Pelodiscus sinensis: one gene and its partner. The protein of the gene in region 1 purifies or fractionates together with the protein of each later gene. This does not show direct contact. Links are inferred from orthologs where the notes say so. Each region holds a gene or a part of one and is shown on either strand. Other genes may lie near its edges.

Region 1 (7,953 bases):
TCCCATAAAATGTCCTTTGGCAAAACCTTACATTCCCAATATTTCTAAAATCAAAAAACAGATTAAAAAATAATCAGGCCTCCCATATAAATCATTAAAAAAGCCACAAGCTATTTTAAGTGCTTTGCAGGTCGGCACTGAATTTCTTCCTTTTTAGAGAATCACAGAGAAAGTGAAACTATTTAAATTCTTCTTCAACCTTAAAACTAGTCTCATTGCTTTCTACTCTACTTTCTGCATTTCTAATTCAGCAACAGTGAATACAGTATTTCATATATGGATGCTTCACTCCTTACAGTGTGAAAATATTGGTAGCAGGGATGTGAAAGTCACACAAACCCACCCTCCCCTGCTGCCTCTGTATCAGAAGCCGTAGTGTGTGGGGCACAGGTGGAAGCGCACACTAGCTCCCACAGAGAATCACATCACCACCACCCCGTGTGGTGGGTAAGTGGCTCCACGGGAGCCCCTATGCGCAGAAAGCCAACTTAAAAGCTGACTCCCTACACACACAGGCAAGGGACCACGAGCCTTGCCAGCCCGGAGCACTGCCAGCCCCACAGAGTCCTGAGCCCCGGGAATGGTTAACCATGTAATGGATAGAATTGTTATCAGTCACCGAGTTAATATCTTTATTCATTTATATCCCTAATTTGAATGTTTTTCTTTTTTTCTGAAGCATCACAATTATATAAAGAATAACAATGAAGTTTTTACTGCAATTATGCAGTGCTCCAAAGTTTCTCCCTTTCACGCAGTGGTTCCCAAACTTTTCAGCATCACGCCCCCTTCTTGATTTTTGAAAAACCCTCATGCCCCTCCACCCCAAAATAGCAAAACTTGTCGGGGGGGGGGGGGGGGAAGGAACTGACCAGGGCAGCAAAACTTGATTGGGGGAGGGGGGACTGGGTCGCCTCGCATACCCCCTGGAATTTCTTCACACACCCCAGTTTGGGAACCCATGCGTGTAGAGTATCAAAGTTTGTCTTTTTTTGCTAACAAAAGTTGATCCATAAAAAATTTGACTTCACCCACTTCATCTCTCTCATACACAGCATCTAACACAGCTACACCAACACGGCACAAAAAAATCATCAGATTCAACATTTTAAGAACTACAGAACCTAAGATCAGTATTATAACCCTGGCATTCAACTGGACTCTTGTTTTTCTTTTCAAATTTAGTTCTACAATTTGAATTCCTCATATTTAAGTATACTTTGTTGAAGAGTACATTTATTGCAAAAAATGTACTCAAATCTCACATATTCAAAATTATGTTGGTTAAAAAAGGTAGTAGAGATGCTCAAAATAGAAAGATAAAGATTTTATTACGCCTTATGAAGTAACACATGGGGAAAACGTCTACACAAGCTTCACTGTCAAAATACTTAGTCACATATAACATATACTATCAATAAGTTTCAATATTAATATTAAAACAATAGGTGCCTTATATCACTATGGAGATTACCCTAAATAACTAACTCGCCAATAGGCAATGTTACTACACAAGTCTTTTCAAAACTGAGCCCTATATTGACCAAATATTTCCTACTACTACTGAGCTCCAGCCCAGCTAAACGAACACATTAGCAGCTTGTCTCTGTGACTTCATTTGACATGTAAAAATTTCTGGAAAGGGTTAACCTACAAGCCTGGAATATCCATTTGTTATGGAAAAAACTTACCAGACGTGCCATAAAAAGAGCAGCAATAAAGACAAATGAAAACACAAAAATGCCATTTGCTAAAGGGGAAGAAGTTTCAGTTTTCGCTTTACCTTTAAAAAGGAAATGAAAAAGGGGAGGCTGGTGTAACCTACCAAGGCCCCTACATGATGGGCTGTGTTGTGCTACCCTGTGAAGAGACGTACATACAAGGTGACTAAAAGACAACCTGTAAAGCGAGGCACATCGATCTCATGAGCAGTATTACCAATTTTTTAAAAATAAAAATCTCCTGCCACGTTTTCTGCGGTTGGGGGACAGAATTCCCCGCCCCTTCCCCTGCACAGGTCCTACCACCAGCAGGCCAACTTCGAGAGACGGGTCTGAGCCCCCGCCTAACCAATGACATTTCTTGGCGTTAAAGTTTTGGAGGCCCCCACGCCGCCTCCATTCTCAGGGGGCTGTTTTCAGCTTGGCCGAAGAGCCAGCAAAGCCGCCCGCAGACCCCGGAGCGCCGGGAAAAGACGACACCCCCCCCCCCTTAAATAACGCCCAGCCCGAATCGCGGGGCTACATACACACAAGCCCCGCCGGACCCGGCCTCCTCGCGCTACCGCTGCCGCCGCCCAAGGCCCGGGCAGGTGGCGCCCGGCATGTGGCAGGGGCTGCGCAAAGCCGCGCGGCCGAGCCCGGAAAGGAGACCGGGCTTGGCACGCGCCGCCGCCCTGCCCCCCGCCGAGTTTCACTTCACAGGAGTCACTTCACAGACACACGCTCTCCCCACCCCGCCCCCGGCCACGGGCGGAGCGGCGGCAGCTGCAGCCAATGGGGGCCGGGTGACTGGCGGCGGCGGCCAATGAGACCCGGCGAGAGGTGGGACTGTCCTCCCGCCGCGGCGGCCCCGTGTGAGGTCGCTGGCTGCCTGCAAGGGAGTTTCTTGGTTACAGCCCCGGCTGCGCGCCCCAAGCTCCCGGCCCCTTCTCCCCCCCGCGCCTCACCAGACCGCGCGCGTCCCTCCCGCTTCGCGCCGGGCCGCCGGAACCGGCCTCGCTGCCTCGGCGGAGAGTGCCGCGCCCAGGCGCCGAGTGGGGGCCGGACGCTCCGGGCGGGTGCGGGGCTCCCCGTGCGCGAACCGTGAGGCCGCGGCGGTAGCAGCCCAGCCGCCGCCGCCTCCTCCTGCCGCTGCCGCTGCCGCCAGGACTGTAAACATCCCGGCATCCCCGAGGGGAGAGAGGCGGGGCCGGCGCCGGGCTCCTCCTCAGAGCGGGCCCCCGCCGCCTTCTGGCGCTCAGCGGCCCGGCCGCGGCGTATGCTGGCCCGCCGTGTCCCCGCGACGGCTAGGGCCGGACTGACGGCGGCGGCAGCAGACGTTTGGCCTGCCCCGGTAAAGGATGGGCTGGGAGGGGCCGGCCTGCACGCTGGGAAGCGCCCGGGCTTGGGGTCAGGCCCGTGTCTTTCCGAAACCAGGGGCCCCGGTGCTGCGCTGCTTCCGAAGAGGCAGGAGACTGGCTGGTGCGCTGGGAAGCACCTTGGCCAAACCTGCAGCCATGTGTGGGACCCCAGAGGCTGCGTCGGTTCCAGCTCCCGGTGTGTTACCGAACTGCAACTTCCTAGCAGCCTAGTTCCTCCTGAGAGGTAGCAGTGCGCTTAATACAAATAAATGGCGACTGCGTCCCACCGCAAGCAAATATATTCTTGGCTTTTGTGTAGTGGAAATTGCGACCGCAGGCAGAAACTGAATTTGTATGTGTTTCTGCATTCTCTAGCCCCAAGGACCCTAAACCCCTGAGAAGCACTCCTAGGCCCTATAAATTATACAGCAGCTCCCTTGACAAGAGTAAGAGGGGCTCAGCACTCTGAACTCTCATGAAAGAAAAAAGAAAGCCTAGGATTTCTGAAAAACAATGTGTCCAGGGGAAGGTGTGGAGCATTCATTAGAAAAGCCATCTACCCTGATCTAACACTCTCCCTGTATAGTGTGGAAAAAGGAGATATGTTTAGCTAACTTTGTTTGTTAATAGGCAGCAGCTTTAAAACAAACAAAAGGAAGTATTTCTTCACTCAGTGCACAATCAACCTCTGAAACTCCTTGCCAGAGGATGCGGTGAAGTCTAGAACTTCAACTGGGTTCAAAAAAGAGCTAGCTAGATTCATGGAGGTAAGGTTCATCAATGGCTATTAGCCAGTGTGGGTAGGAATGGTGTCCCTAGCCTCTGTTCTTCTGGAAGTGGGTGACAGGGGAGGGATCATGTGAAGATTACCTGTTGTGATCCCTTCCTCTGAGACATCTGGTATTGGCCCCTGTCAGCAGACAGGGTACTGGGCTAAATGGACCTTTGGTCTGACCCAGTGTGGCCATTCTTATGTTTGTTTTTTAAACACAAATAAGGACTTACATTAGAGTAAGAATGTGTTTAAAAACTTGTTTGCTGGTAGTAGTTCCCTTGGGGACGAACCATAATCCCTTAGAAATAAAAATGAAAGCTTCCTAACAGCATGCAAAATAATCCTGACTTTCTGCTGACATGTTGCCTGTTTCTGGTAGTAACCTATTGGAAAAAGACTGAATGTAAACCTGTGCTTAGGAATTAAAAATAAACAGCTCTTCTAAAAATACATAGGAAAGTAGCTTTTTCTTTTTCTGGAGTGATGGAGAAGCTCTCCCCAAAGAGATCTTGATCCTTTCTGAATTCTGAAATGGGGACTCAGGAGGTATGAAACACTGAAGTGGAAGAGCTGGTGCTAGCCTAAACAGTTTGGAGTTCTCAGTGGGCGTGTCTACAATTTAATTAAAAATCTGCTGACTCAACCTAGGGGCTTGGGTTGGAGCCCAGGCTTTAGGGCTCCAACAATCACAGCAATTAATTAGCCCCTTAACTTAAGTCTTACAAGCTGGATTCAGCTGATGGGCCACCCACAGGTGGCTAACTGCAGTGTAGACATAGCCAGTGTTCTCTGCCGGTAGCTTGAACAGCAGTAGCACCTGATAGGGAAAGAAAAGAGTTCTGTGTGGAAATCTTCTGTCTCCCTCCTATTAGCTTTCCTTCTAGAAGAAGAATTAGAAACTAGCATATTTATCCTTTAAATCATTTCTTAATCTAAAGTTCAACAAACAGCCTGAGGGTCCAATCCACAAGGGTACCTAGGTGTCTGAGTTCCATTTTTAAGAACCAATGTGAGCCACAAAGCTTCCACTCAGCTGCCATCTAACCCTGCAGATGATTATACTCATGGCACCTAAGTTTTTGTTTCTAGGCCTGTGCATTGCTGCCACACAACAGGTATCCATAGGGATGTGAAGGATTAACTAGTAAGCTTCACCTTTAACGGGACTGGGATGCCAAAGCATCCCTTGCCTGCGGGGTGCCCTAGCCTATTGCCAAGCTGGTGTAGCGGTTCCTGCTAAGGGAAATTAGAGAGGCTATCAAAATAAAGAACTCAATAATAGTGGGGGATTTTAACTATCCCCGTATTGACTGGGTGCTTGTCACCTCAAGACAAAATGCAGAGACAAAATTTCTTTATCTTCAATGGCTGCTTCTTGGAGCAGCTGGTACAGGAACCAACAAGGGGAGAGGCAATTCTCGATTTAGTCCTGAATGGTGCGTAGGATCCGGTCCAAGAGGTAACTATAATAGGACCACTTAGAAATAGTGACCATAATATAATAACATTTAACATTCCTGTGGTGGGAAGAACATCTCAGCAGCCCAACACTGTGGCTTTAATTTCAGAAAGGGGAACTATGCAAAAATGAGGAGGTTAGTTAAACAGAAATTAAAAGGTACTGTGACTAAAGTAAAATCCCTGTAAGCTGCATGGATGCTTTCAAAGACAACAAAATAGAGGCCCAACTTAAATGTATACCCCAAATTAAAAAAAAAATCATAGAAGAACTAAAAAAGAGCCACCATGGCTGAACAGCCATGAAAAAGAAGCAGTGAGAGATAAAAACACATCTTTTAAAAAGTGGAAGTCAAATCCTAGTGAGGTAAATAGAAAGGAACATAAACACTGTCAAATGAAGTGTAAAAATGAATAAGAAAAGCCAAAAAGTAGTTTGAAGAACAGCTAGCCAAAAACTCAAAAAGTAATAACAGAATGTTTAAGTACATCAGAAGCAGAAAGCCTGCTAAACAACCAGTGGGGCCCCTGGATGGTCTAGATACAAAAGGATCACTTAACGACTATTTAAGTCAATGTGAAGAAACTAAATGAATTCTTTGCTTCAGTCTTCAAGGGTGAGGATGTTAGGGAGATTCCCAAACCTGAACCGTCCTTTGTGGGTGACAAATCTGCAGACTTGTCAAAGATGGAAGTGTCATTAGAGGAGATTTTGGAATTAATTGATAAACTTAACAGTAACAAGTCACCGGGACCAGATGGCATTCACCCAAGAGTTCTGAAAGAACTCAAAAGTGAAATTGCGGCACTATTAACTCTGGTTTGTAATCTATCCTTTAAATCAGCTTCTGTACCCAATGACTGGAAGATAGCTAATGTAATGCCAATATTTAAAAAAGGCTTTAGAGGCGATCCCAGCAATTACAGACTGGTAAGTCTAACATCAGTACCGGGCAAATTAGTTGAAACAAATAGTAAAGAATACAATTGTCAGACACATAGAAGAACATAATTTGTTGGGCAAAAGTCAACATGGTTTCTGTAAAGGGAAATCATGTCTTACTAATCTATTAGGCTATGTCTACACTGGTGAGTTCTTGCACCAGAAATATGCAAATGAGGCTAAGCGTGGAATATCACCGAGCCTCATTTGCATACCTAATTTTTGCGGAAGAGGCTCTTGCACCAGAAGGAGCTGTCTACACTGCCCCTTCTTGCACATGAAAAACCCTGTTGCGCAATGCTGCTACACTGATTATTTTCAGGAATAACGGCATTGCGCAAGAGGGTTTTTCTTGCGCAAGAAGGGACAGTGTAGATGCTCCTTCTGGCACAAGAGCCTCTTCCGCAAAAATGACAGCTCATTAGGTATGCAAATGAGGCTCGGCGATATTCCACGCTTAGCCTCATTTGCATATTTCTGGCGCAAGAACCCGCCAGTGTAGATATAGCCTTTGAGTTCTTTGAAGGGGTCAACAAATATGTGGACAAAGGGGATCCAGTAGATATAGTGTACTTAGATTTCCAGAAAGCCTTTGACAAGGTCCCTCTCCAAAGGCTCTTATGTAAATTAAGTTGTCATGGGATAAGAGGGAAGATCCTTTCATGGACTAAGAGCTGGTTTAAAGATAGGAAACAAAGGGTAGGAATAAATGGTAAATTTTCAGAATGGAGAGGGATAACTAGTGGTGTTGCCCAAGAATCAGTTCTAGGACTAATTCTATTCAACTTATTTATAAATGATCTGGAGAAATGGGTAAACAGTGAGGTGGCAAAGTTTGCAGATGATACTAAACTGCTCAAGCTAGTTAAGACCAAAGCAGACCATGCAGAACTTCAAAAAGATCTCACCAAACTGACTGGGTAACAAAATGGCAAATTAAATTTAATGTGGATAAATGTAAAGTAATGCACATTGGCAGGGCTTGACAAACCACTGAATCTACTCGCCCAGGGCAAGTAAATTTCAGCCAGTCTGTCCGAGCGCCCCATTCACCAGCGCATCGCGCATGCGCAGTGCCGGTCTGGCACATGTGCAGCACGAGGCTGGCGAGTGGCTCTCGCTGGGGTTTGTCAAGCCCTGCACATTGGAAAAAATAACCCCAACTATACATATAATATGAGGGGGGGCTAATTTAGCTACAACTAATCAGGAAAGAGATCTTGGAGTCATCGTGGATAGTTCTCTGAAGACGTCCACGCAGTGTGCAGCGGCAGTCAAAACAAACAATGTTAGGAATCATTAAAAAAGGGATAGAGAATAAGAGGAAGAATATCCATGGTACGCCCACATCTTGAATAGCGTACAGATGTGGCCTCCTCCTTTCAAAAAAGATATACTGGCATTAGAAAAGGTTCGGAGAAGGGCAACTAAAATGATTAGGGGTTTGGAACATGTCCCATATTAGGAGAGATTAAAGAGACTGGGACTTTTCAGCTTGGAAAAGAGGAGACTAAGGGAGGATATGTTAGAGATATAAAATCAAAAGCGGTGTGGAGAAAGTGAATAAGGAAAAGTTATTTACTTGTTCCCATAATATAAGAACTAGGAGCTACCAAATGAAACTAATGGGCAGCAAGTTTAAAACAAATAAAAGGAAATTATTCACACAGCACATAGTCAATCTGTGGAACTCCTTGCCTGAGGAGGTTGTGAAGA
Region 2 (7,031 bases), on another chromosome or scaffold:
AGACGTGTGAGTAAATAAAGCATTGGTGGCTGGTCAGGGGCTAACCTTAGCGAACCGCCTCCACTCCAGGGCTAGAGAGACTTTTGGACTGACCCAGTATGTCCATTCTTATGTTCTTAGCTCTGTGCCTCACAGAATAAAATGTACATTAATAACTACTTTTTTGGTTCTTATGTCTCCAAAATGTCTAAACTAAACCCTGCAGAAAAGAAGCCAAAAGAATAGTAGCCCATACCTGTCTGGGGTCTGACAGTTGTTACTGATTCCAGATAATCTTTCATGTCTTTATGTTTGAAGCCAATGGAGATTTCAAAAGATGTTTTATGCAGCACATTTAGATGATTAGGATTGGCTCCCTTGTCCACGAGCTGTTGTGCCACACTCAGCTTTCCACTAACTGCTGCCAGCATTAGAGGACTCCAGCCCACTGTCTTCAAAGAGTAATTACAATCAGCTCCCCAGTCCAGTAGTAAATGCACCACTGCTTCATGTCCATGTTGGGCAGCTGCTATTAGTGGTATTATATCTGGCAGTTCCTCTTTGCTGTTCTCAACGAAACTGGTATTAAAATGGTCATAATTATCAACAAAAGCTCCAGATTCCAGCAACAATTTCACCACACTGACATGGCCACCTCTAGAAGCCATTGTAAGTACACTGGCTCCCAGTTTATTCTGTGCATTCAGATCAGCACCATTCTCCAACAAGATGTGGGCCACAGTTAGATGTCCAAACCTTAAAAGAAAGCAAAAGAATTGAAAAGAGATACCAGTTTTTCTGTAATAAATATCTTTTACAGACAGCATGTGAGAAAATTTTGCTACAACAGTTATTTGGTATGCTCAACTTCCCTACTGTACCTACGGCAATTGAAAATGTACCATGTGTACTTAAGACTATCACTGCAGCCCAACCCCCATCCTTTGAAATTAGGTTTTAAAAGAATCAACAGAACTATAAGGATCTGGACAAAACCCAAATATCCTAGATCAAGAAGTTATTTAAGTATACATATAATTTAAAAAGTGAATAATCCCATGTGCAGGGTTGGGGCCATAGACAGCTGTGATAAATGCTATAGTAAACTCTATGACTGATAAAGTGTATGAAATCTGATTCTATTTATTGAATGTTATAAACTGTTTTCTATTTTGTCCTGTGAAACGTTTAGAGAAATTAGGGAAAGCCCACTGAAACAGGACTTTTTTCATGATTTCAGTAGACCAAACATCTGACCTCCTCAGTCAAGATTTCCTAACCAAAGGAACAGTAACAAATAAAATAAACTTTTAGGCATCTTTTATTCCCATAGGAGATGATGCTCAATAGTTGCTTTTATTTGTATGCTGCTTTTAAAAATACATACAGGCTACGTCTACACTGGAATGATTTTCCGGAAATACTTTTAATGGAAAAATTTTCCGTTAAAAGCATTTTCGGAAAAGCGCGTCTAGATTGGCAGGGCGCTTTTCCGCAAAAGCACTTTTTGCAGAAAAGCGTCTGTGGCCAATCTAGACGCGTTTTTCTGCAAAAAAGCCCCGATCGCCATTTTCGCGATCGGGGCTTTTTTGCAGAAAAGAAATCTCTGCTGTCTACACTGGCCCTTTTGCGCAAAAGTCTTTCGGAAAAAGACTTTTGCCCGAACGGGAGCAGCATAGTATTTCCGCAAAAGCGCTGACAATCTTACATGAGATCATCAGTACTTTTGCGGAAATTCAAGCGCCCAGTGTAGACAGCTGGCAAGTTTTTCCGCAAAAGCAGATGATTTTGCGGAAAAACTTGCCAGTCTAGACACAGCCACATAGTGCAGTTATTCAGTGGTATTAGTTGTAATTTGATGACATTTATAAATTGCTATGGTGACCTGCCCACTATTTATCATAATTCTAAACTAAAGGACAATGGGAAAAGGAAATGTACTAACATTAAATTCTAACATTTGTTCAATTTCACATTTGACATGCCTTTCCTCACCAGCAAAACAATCATTTCTTGCAAGCAATGTGATTGTTTAAACTGGTATTTTAAAATAGCTTAAAGCAAGAGTTTGAATGATCAAAACCAGAACGCCTTCTCTGTCCAGAGTGCACAACGATTCTCCCAAAGGACCGGACCTGTAATACTTTGACTACTCGGGGAGGGAACTGGCTGCTTGTTTCTTATGAGCAAGAGCCACGAGGATGTGGAGGGAGGAACAGGCACACTCGTCTAGCAGCCGTGTACAAATGATGCTGCTCAGGAAGAAACAACTCCGCTCTGTGCCAGCCACAGCCGACGTTTCCTCTGCTCTCCAGCAGGGCACAGGGCTTTGCTTTGTTTTCTAACTCGCTCCCTTGAAATGAAGAAACAGGCTGGGTGGTTACCCTCACAGCCAAGCCACGCCCGAGCAGCCCGGGGTGCTGCTGGAAGAGGCGTTGCTCAGCCCACTGCCGAACCCCTGCGCCCTACCAGCTCTCACGCCCCAGCCTGCTGAGAGGGGGCAGGCCCCACCGGGCCACGGCTGCAAGCCGGAGCATGCTCAGTGGCGGCCGGGGAGCGGATGCGGGCAGCGCCCGGCCCTACCTGGCCGCCTGCATGAGCGGGCTCCAGCCGTAGTGGTTCCGACTCTGCACCGAGGCCCCTTTGCGCAGCAGGAACCGCACCAGCTGCTCGTGGCCCCCGGCCGAGGCGAACTGCAGCCCGGTGTTGCCGGCCTCGTCCGTGCAATCCACTGGCACCGAAGGGGGAGGCGCTGCCGCTTCCCCGGCTCCGGGCTCCGCCGCCGCCGCCTCCTCCGCCCCGCAAGCGGAGCCGCCCGCCGCCTCCGCGCCGCCCCCGGGCAGCCCCAGGAGGCGCCGGGCGCTCTCGTAGTCCCCCTGCTCGCAGGCGCGGAGAAAGAGCTGGACCTGGGTGGGAACCCCGCATTCCCCCATCGGCCGCGGCGTGCGAGCCCCGCGCAGCCGCCGCCTCCGACCCCTGCCTGCGCCCCCGGCATGGGCCTCGCTGCCCTGGAAGGAGAGAGAGCTCGGCGCTCCGCCCGCGGAAGGGCGGCCGGTCTCATGTTACACCCCAGCAGTTCCTTCCCGCGCGCGGGCCCCGTCCTGGAGACACGCCTGGGCAATTGCAGTGACTGATGTGGGAAGGGCTCTCAATGGCTTATAGAACCATAGAGCTGGAAGAGACCTCAGGAGGTCATCAAGTCCAGCCCCCTGCCCAAGGCAGGACCAATCCCAATTAAATCAACCCAGCCAGGGCTTTGTCAAGCCCAGACTTAAACACCTCTAGGGGTGGAGACTCCACTACTTCCCTAGGTAACCCAGTCCAGTGCTTCACCACCCTCCTAGTGAAATAGTTTTTCCTAATATCCAACCTGGACCTCTCCCACCGCAACTTGAGACCATTGCTCCTTGTTCTGCCATCTGTCATTACTGAGAACAGCCTTTCTCCATCCTCTTTGGAACCCCCCTTCAGGAAGTTGAAGGCTGCTATCAAATCCCCCCTCACTCTTCTCTTCTGCAGACTAAATATTTCTAACTCCCTCAGCTTCTCCTCATAGGTCATATGTTCCAGCCCCTTGTCTGCCCTCCCCTTCCCCCAGCTCCCAGTGCAGGGCCTGGCCGTGCTGGGCTGGGGTGCACTGACACAATATGTTACTGAGCTTAGTCACTTTGCATTGTAGATTAGTTTCTAGAGTAAAACCATTTTTGTTTTTCTAAACACTTTAAAATGCATTTCAAATACGGTTTACAATGCGTTCTTCTCAATCCGCAGAATATCTTCCATTCCTACCCTATCCCTCCACCCCCAGTTACACATATTGATCAAAAGTCTAAGAGGGGTAGCAGTATTAATCTGTAGCTTAAAAAAAAACTTAAAAATGAGTGGTCCTGTACCACCTCAGAGACTAATAAAAATATACATTGTATCATGAGCTTTCGTGGGCACAACCCACTTCTGCAGATGAGTGGAAGATCTTGTTCCAGAGTGGATGAGTGCCCAAGATCTTATTCCAGAGATATTTCCTCAGGCTTTTCCCTCATTGTTCAAATAAAGTGCCTTCTTGTCACTGTGTTTTTGTCTCCCACATCTTAGTTACCCCAAGTTAACAAGGCCAAACAAAAATCATAGGCTACGTCTACACTGGCCCCTTTTTCGGAACGGGCATGCTAATTTTGAAAGTGGGAATAGGGAAATCCGCGGGGGATTTAAATATCCCCCGCGGATTTAAATAAACATGTCTGACGCTTTTTTTCCGTCTTGGGGAAAAGCCGGAAAAAAAGCGTCTAGACTGGCCCGATCCTCCGGAATAAAGCCCTATTCCGGAGGATCTCTTATTCCTACTACCCTATTCCCACTTTCAAAATTAGCATGCCCCTTCCGAAAAAGGGGCCAGTGTAGACGTAGCCATAATTTTTAGCAGTAAGGGGAAGGCCAAGTGGCTAGAGTCACAAAGGTGATCAAGGCATAGCAACACTGTCTCACAACATCTAGTTTTTAGGCACTAAGAAAGTCACAGGAACACCAACGTGTTTCACAAATCTTGAGTAAGGAGCCTAAACTCCCTATACAATGAATAGGGAGAGAGCTGCACCTCAGACAGATTCACAACTGCCAAAATACTAGGTAGGGCGCTTGCTAAACCAGCCAATGGGAGATGCTGACCAGAGATTAAGTCAAACTCCATCATAGAGTTCACTGCCAGAATCCAGTCTGCATGTAAGCACCTGGAATACCCTGTCGTGAGTCAGGTGGTTTAGGTGCCTAACCTGTTCTTTGAGAGATTGAGATAGGCAGATGCATAGCCAACAAAACAGCCAGAGGAAGAAGAAGGCCCAGCCTTGTAACTACTATCCCAGTGGACAGAGTGCTCACATGGGTTATGGGAGACATCTATTCAAATCTTTTCTCCCTCTCACAGGGGAATCAAACCCAGGTTTCCCATATCCTGCATGAGTATTCTAACCACTAGGATAAAAGTTATGAGGTGGGTAGTGTCATGTCCTCCCCCTTCAGCCAGATTTTGAATAGGATCGATCAGCGGTGCTAAGGAACACAGGCGGGGAAGCACAGGTAACGTGATCACTGCCCAGGTGTCTCCTCCCTGTTCCACCTGTTATCCTCAGGGAAGAGAACCCAGTCAGTTCATGCCCTGCCACCACTCCACCCAAGCCCTCACCACTAGGAGCAGGAAGCTGAGTGACCTAGCCCCAGCCTGCTCAGCTCTGCCAATTCCTAGCCAGGTTGCTCAATTCCCACTGCCAGGGAGTGCAGAACCCCCTCCCCAAGCAATGTAGCCCAAGGGATTATCCGGGGACCTGGAGCATGCTGCAGAGGTTGGGACGCCCTGCATTCACCAGCAGCAGAAGGCGGAGCAATGCTGGGAGCTGGAGGGAACACAGTAGTTTGTGGCCAAATCGCTACACTTCCCACTGCCCTTGAATGCAGGGGCCCCCTGATCCTGCAGTCTGCATCTGCCCCCTCCCCCATTAATCCCCCCAGGCCACATTGCTTGGGGGAAGGGAGAAGGGGTGTACTCTGCACTCACTGGCTGCAGAAAGCAAAGGAATCCAGCCCCAGCCAAAACATGGGCCCAGGGGCAATGACTCTTCCCACTGGCTGCTGGCCTCTTATTCTTCCCCCTCTACATTTGGGGGGGTACCTGACCCTTCATCCCCCTCACCCCCCATGTCTCCCCTGGGACTCATTTCAGTAGGCACTCTCTGATCATGCCTGCCAAATCGGGCGCCATACACAAGATATGCATTAGCCTCCCTATCTTCCCTGGTTTGTGATTTGTTTTGGAGCTTATGTGGGAAATAAGCATCCAGATGCCTAAAGTAAGGTAAAAGTGCATGTTCAAAGGCAGACATTTAGACACTTAAAGAAACTTTACCCTGAATATGCAGGCACTGAATGAGTTAAGGTGCCTAAATGTTTTAACAGGAGTTTTGGGAATTGTAGAGGAATCTAAAATTGGACATAGGTACCTAAATCTTTGTGAATCTAGCCCTAAGTTTCTATAAAAACGCACAAAGAGGATCAGTCTGACTTCCAAACCTGGAAAGATACTGGAACAAATTAATAAATCATCAATTTGTAAGCATCTAGAGGATAAGTGGGTTATAAGAAATAGCCAGCAAGGATTTCTCAAGAACAAGTGTTGCCAAAGAAATTAAATTAGACAGAGTTACTTGTTTAGTGGATAGGGGTGAAGCAGTAGATATGATATATTTTGATTTTATTAAGGATTTTGACATAATCCTTCTTGACATAAGCAAACTAGGGAAATGTGGTCTGGAGGAAACTACTATAAAGTGGCTGCAAAACTGGTTGAAAAAATATACTTAAATAGTAATTATGAATGGCTCACTGTCAAACTGGGAGGGCATATCTAGAAGGGTCCAACAGAGATCAATGCTGTGCCCAATACTATTATATTATTTTTAGTAATTACTTCTTGGATAATAAGAGTGGAGAACATGATTATAAAATATGTAGACGACACTATCCTGGGAGGGGTTCAAGCACTTTGGAGGACAGGATTAGAATTCAAAATGACCTTAACAAATTGGAGAACTGGTCTGAATTCAACAAGATGAAATTCAAAGACAAGCACAAAAAACTTAGGAAAGAAAAATCAAATGCACAATTACAAAATGGAAGGCAGGGAAGAAAGCTAAGTGATAGTACTGCTGAAAAGAGATCTGGGCATTATGGCTATGGTGACCGTATTTTCTGAACCAAAATTGGGGACATGTTAGCAATGCTCCCTGACCCCTGTTAGCCATCCCCCTGACCTCCATTGGCCACCCTTGGAGATAGTACTCCCAGAGTCAAGATAGACACATGACCGGAAGTAAAGCGTGTCATATGACTCCCTCTAAAATCTCCCCCTACTCTTCTCTACTAATAGGGATGGGTTTGGGCCCCATAGGACCCCTCCACCACCACCACCATGTAACTATGTTGCAATTGCATTAACCCAACTTGCATTGCATTAACTCGGGGGAGAGGCCTGGGATTCCTCTGTTTCAGTGGCTCTCAAACTTTTT

Evidence for each region. The genes of interacting proteins can lie anywhere in the genome.
Region 2: the proteins of NEK7 (region 1) and ANKS6 purify together in Homo sapiens (affinity purification with mass spectrometry; 3 studies listed by BioGRID and IntAct, with this or other methods). This does not show direct contact. The link is inferred for Pelodiscus sinensis from reciprocal best matches to the Homo sapiens genes NEK7 and ANKS6.

What each region holds. Positions count from the first base shown.
Region 1 is NC_134719.1:45,899,431-45,907,383, forward strand, and holds the start of NEK7 (serine/threonine-protein kinase Nek7), read right to left. Parts: upstream 3,012-7,953; 5' UTR 2,669-3,011; intron 2,469-2,668; exon of another isoform or gene 2,249-2,468; intron 1,861-2,248; exon of another isoform or gene 1,826-1,860; intron 807-1,825; exon of another isoform or gene 1-806. UniProt on the Homo sapiens protein: Protein kinase which plays an important role in mitotic cell cycle progression. Required for microtubule nucleation activity of the centrosome, robust mitotic spindle formation and cytokinesis.
Region 2 is NC_134712.1:142,920,561-142,927,591, forward strand, and holds the start of ANKS6 (ankyrin repeat and SAM domain-containing protein 6), read right to left. Parts: upstream 3,015-7,031; 5' UTR 2,913-3,014; coding exon 2,563-2,912; intron 736-2,562; coding exon 236-735; intron 1-235.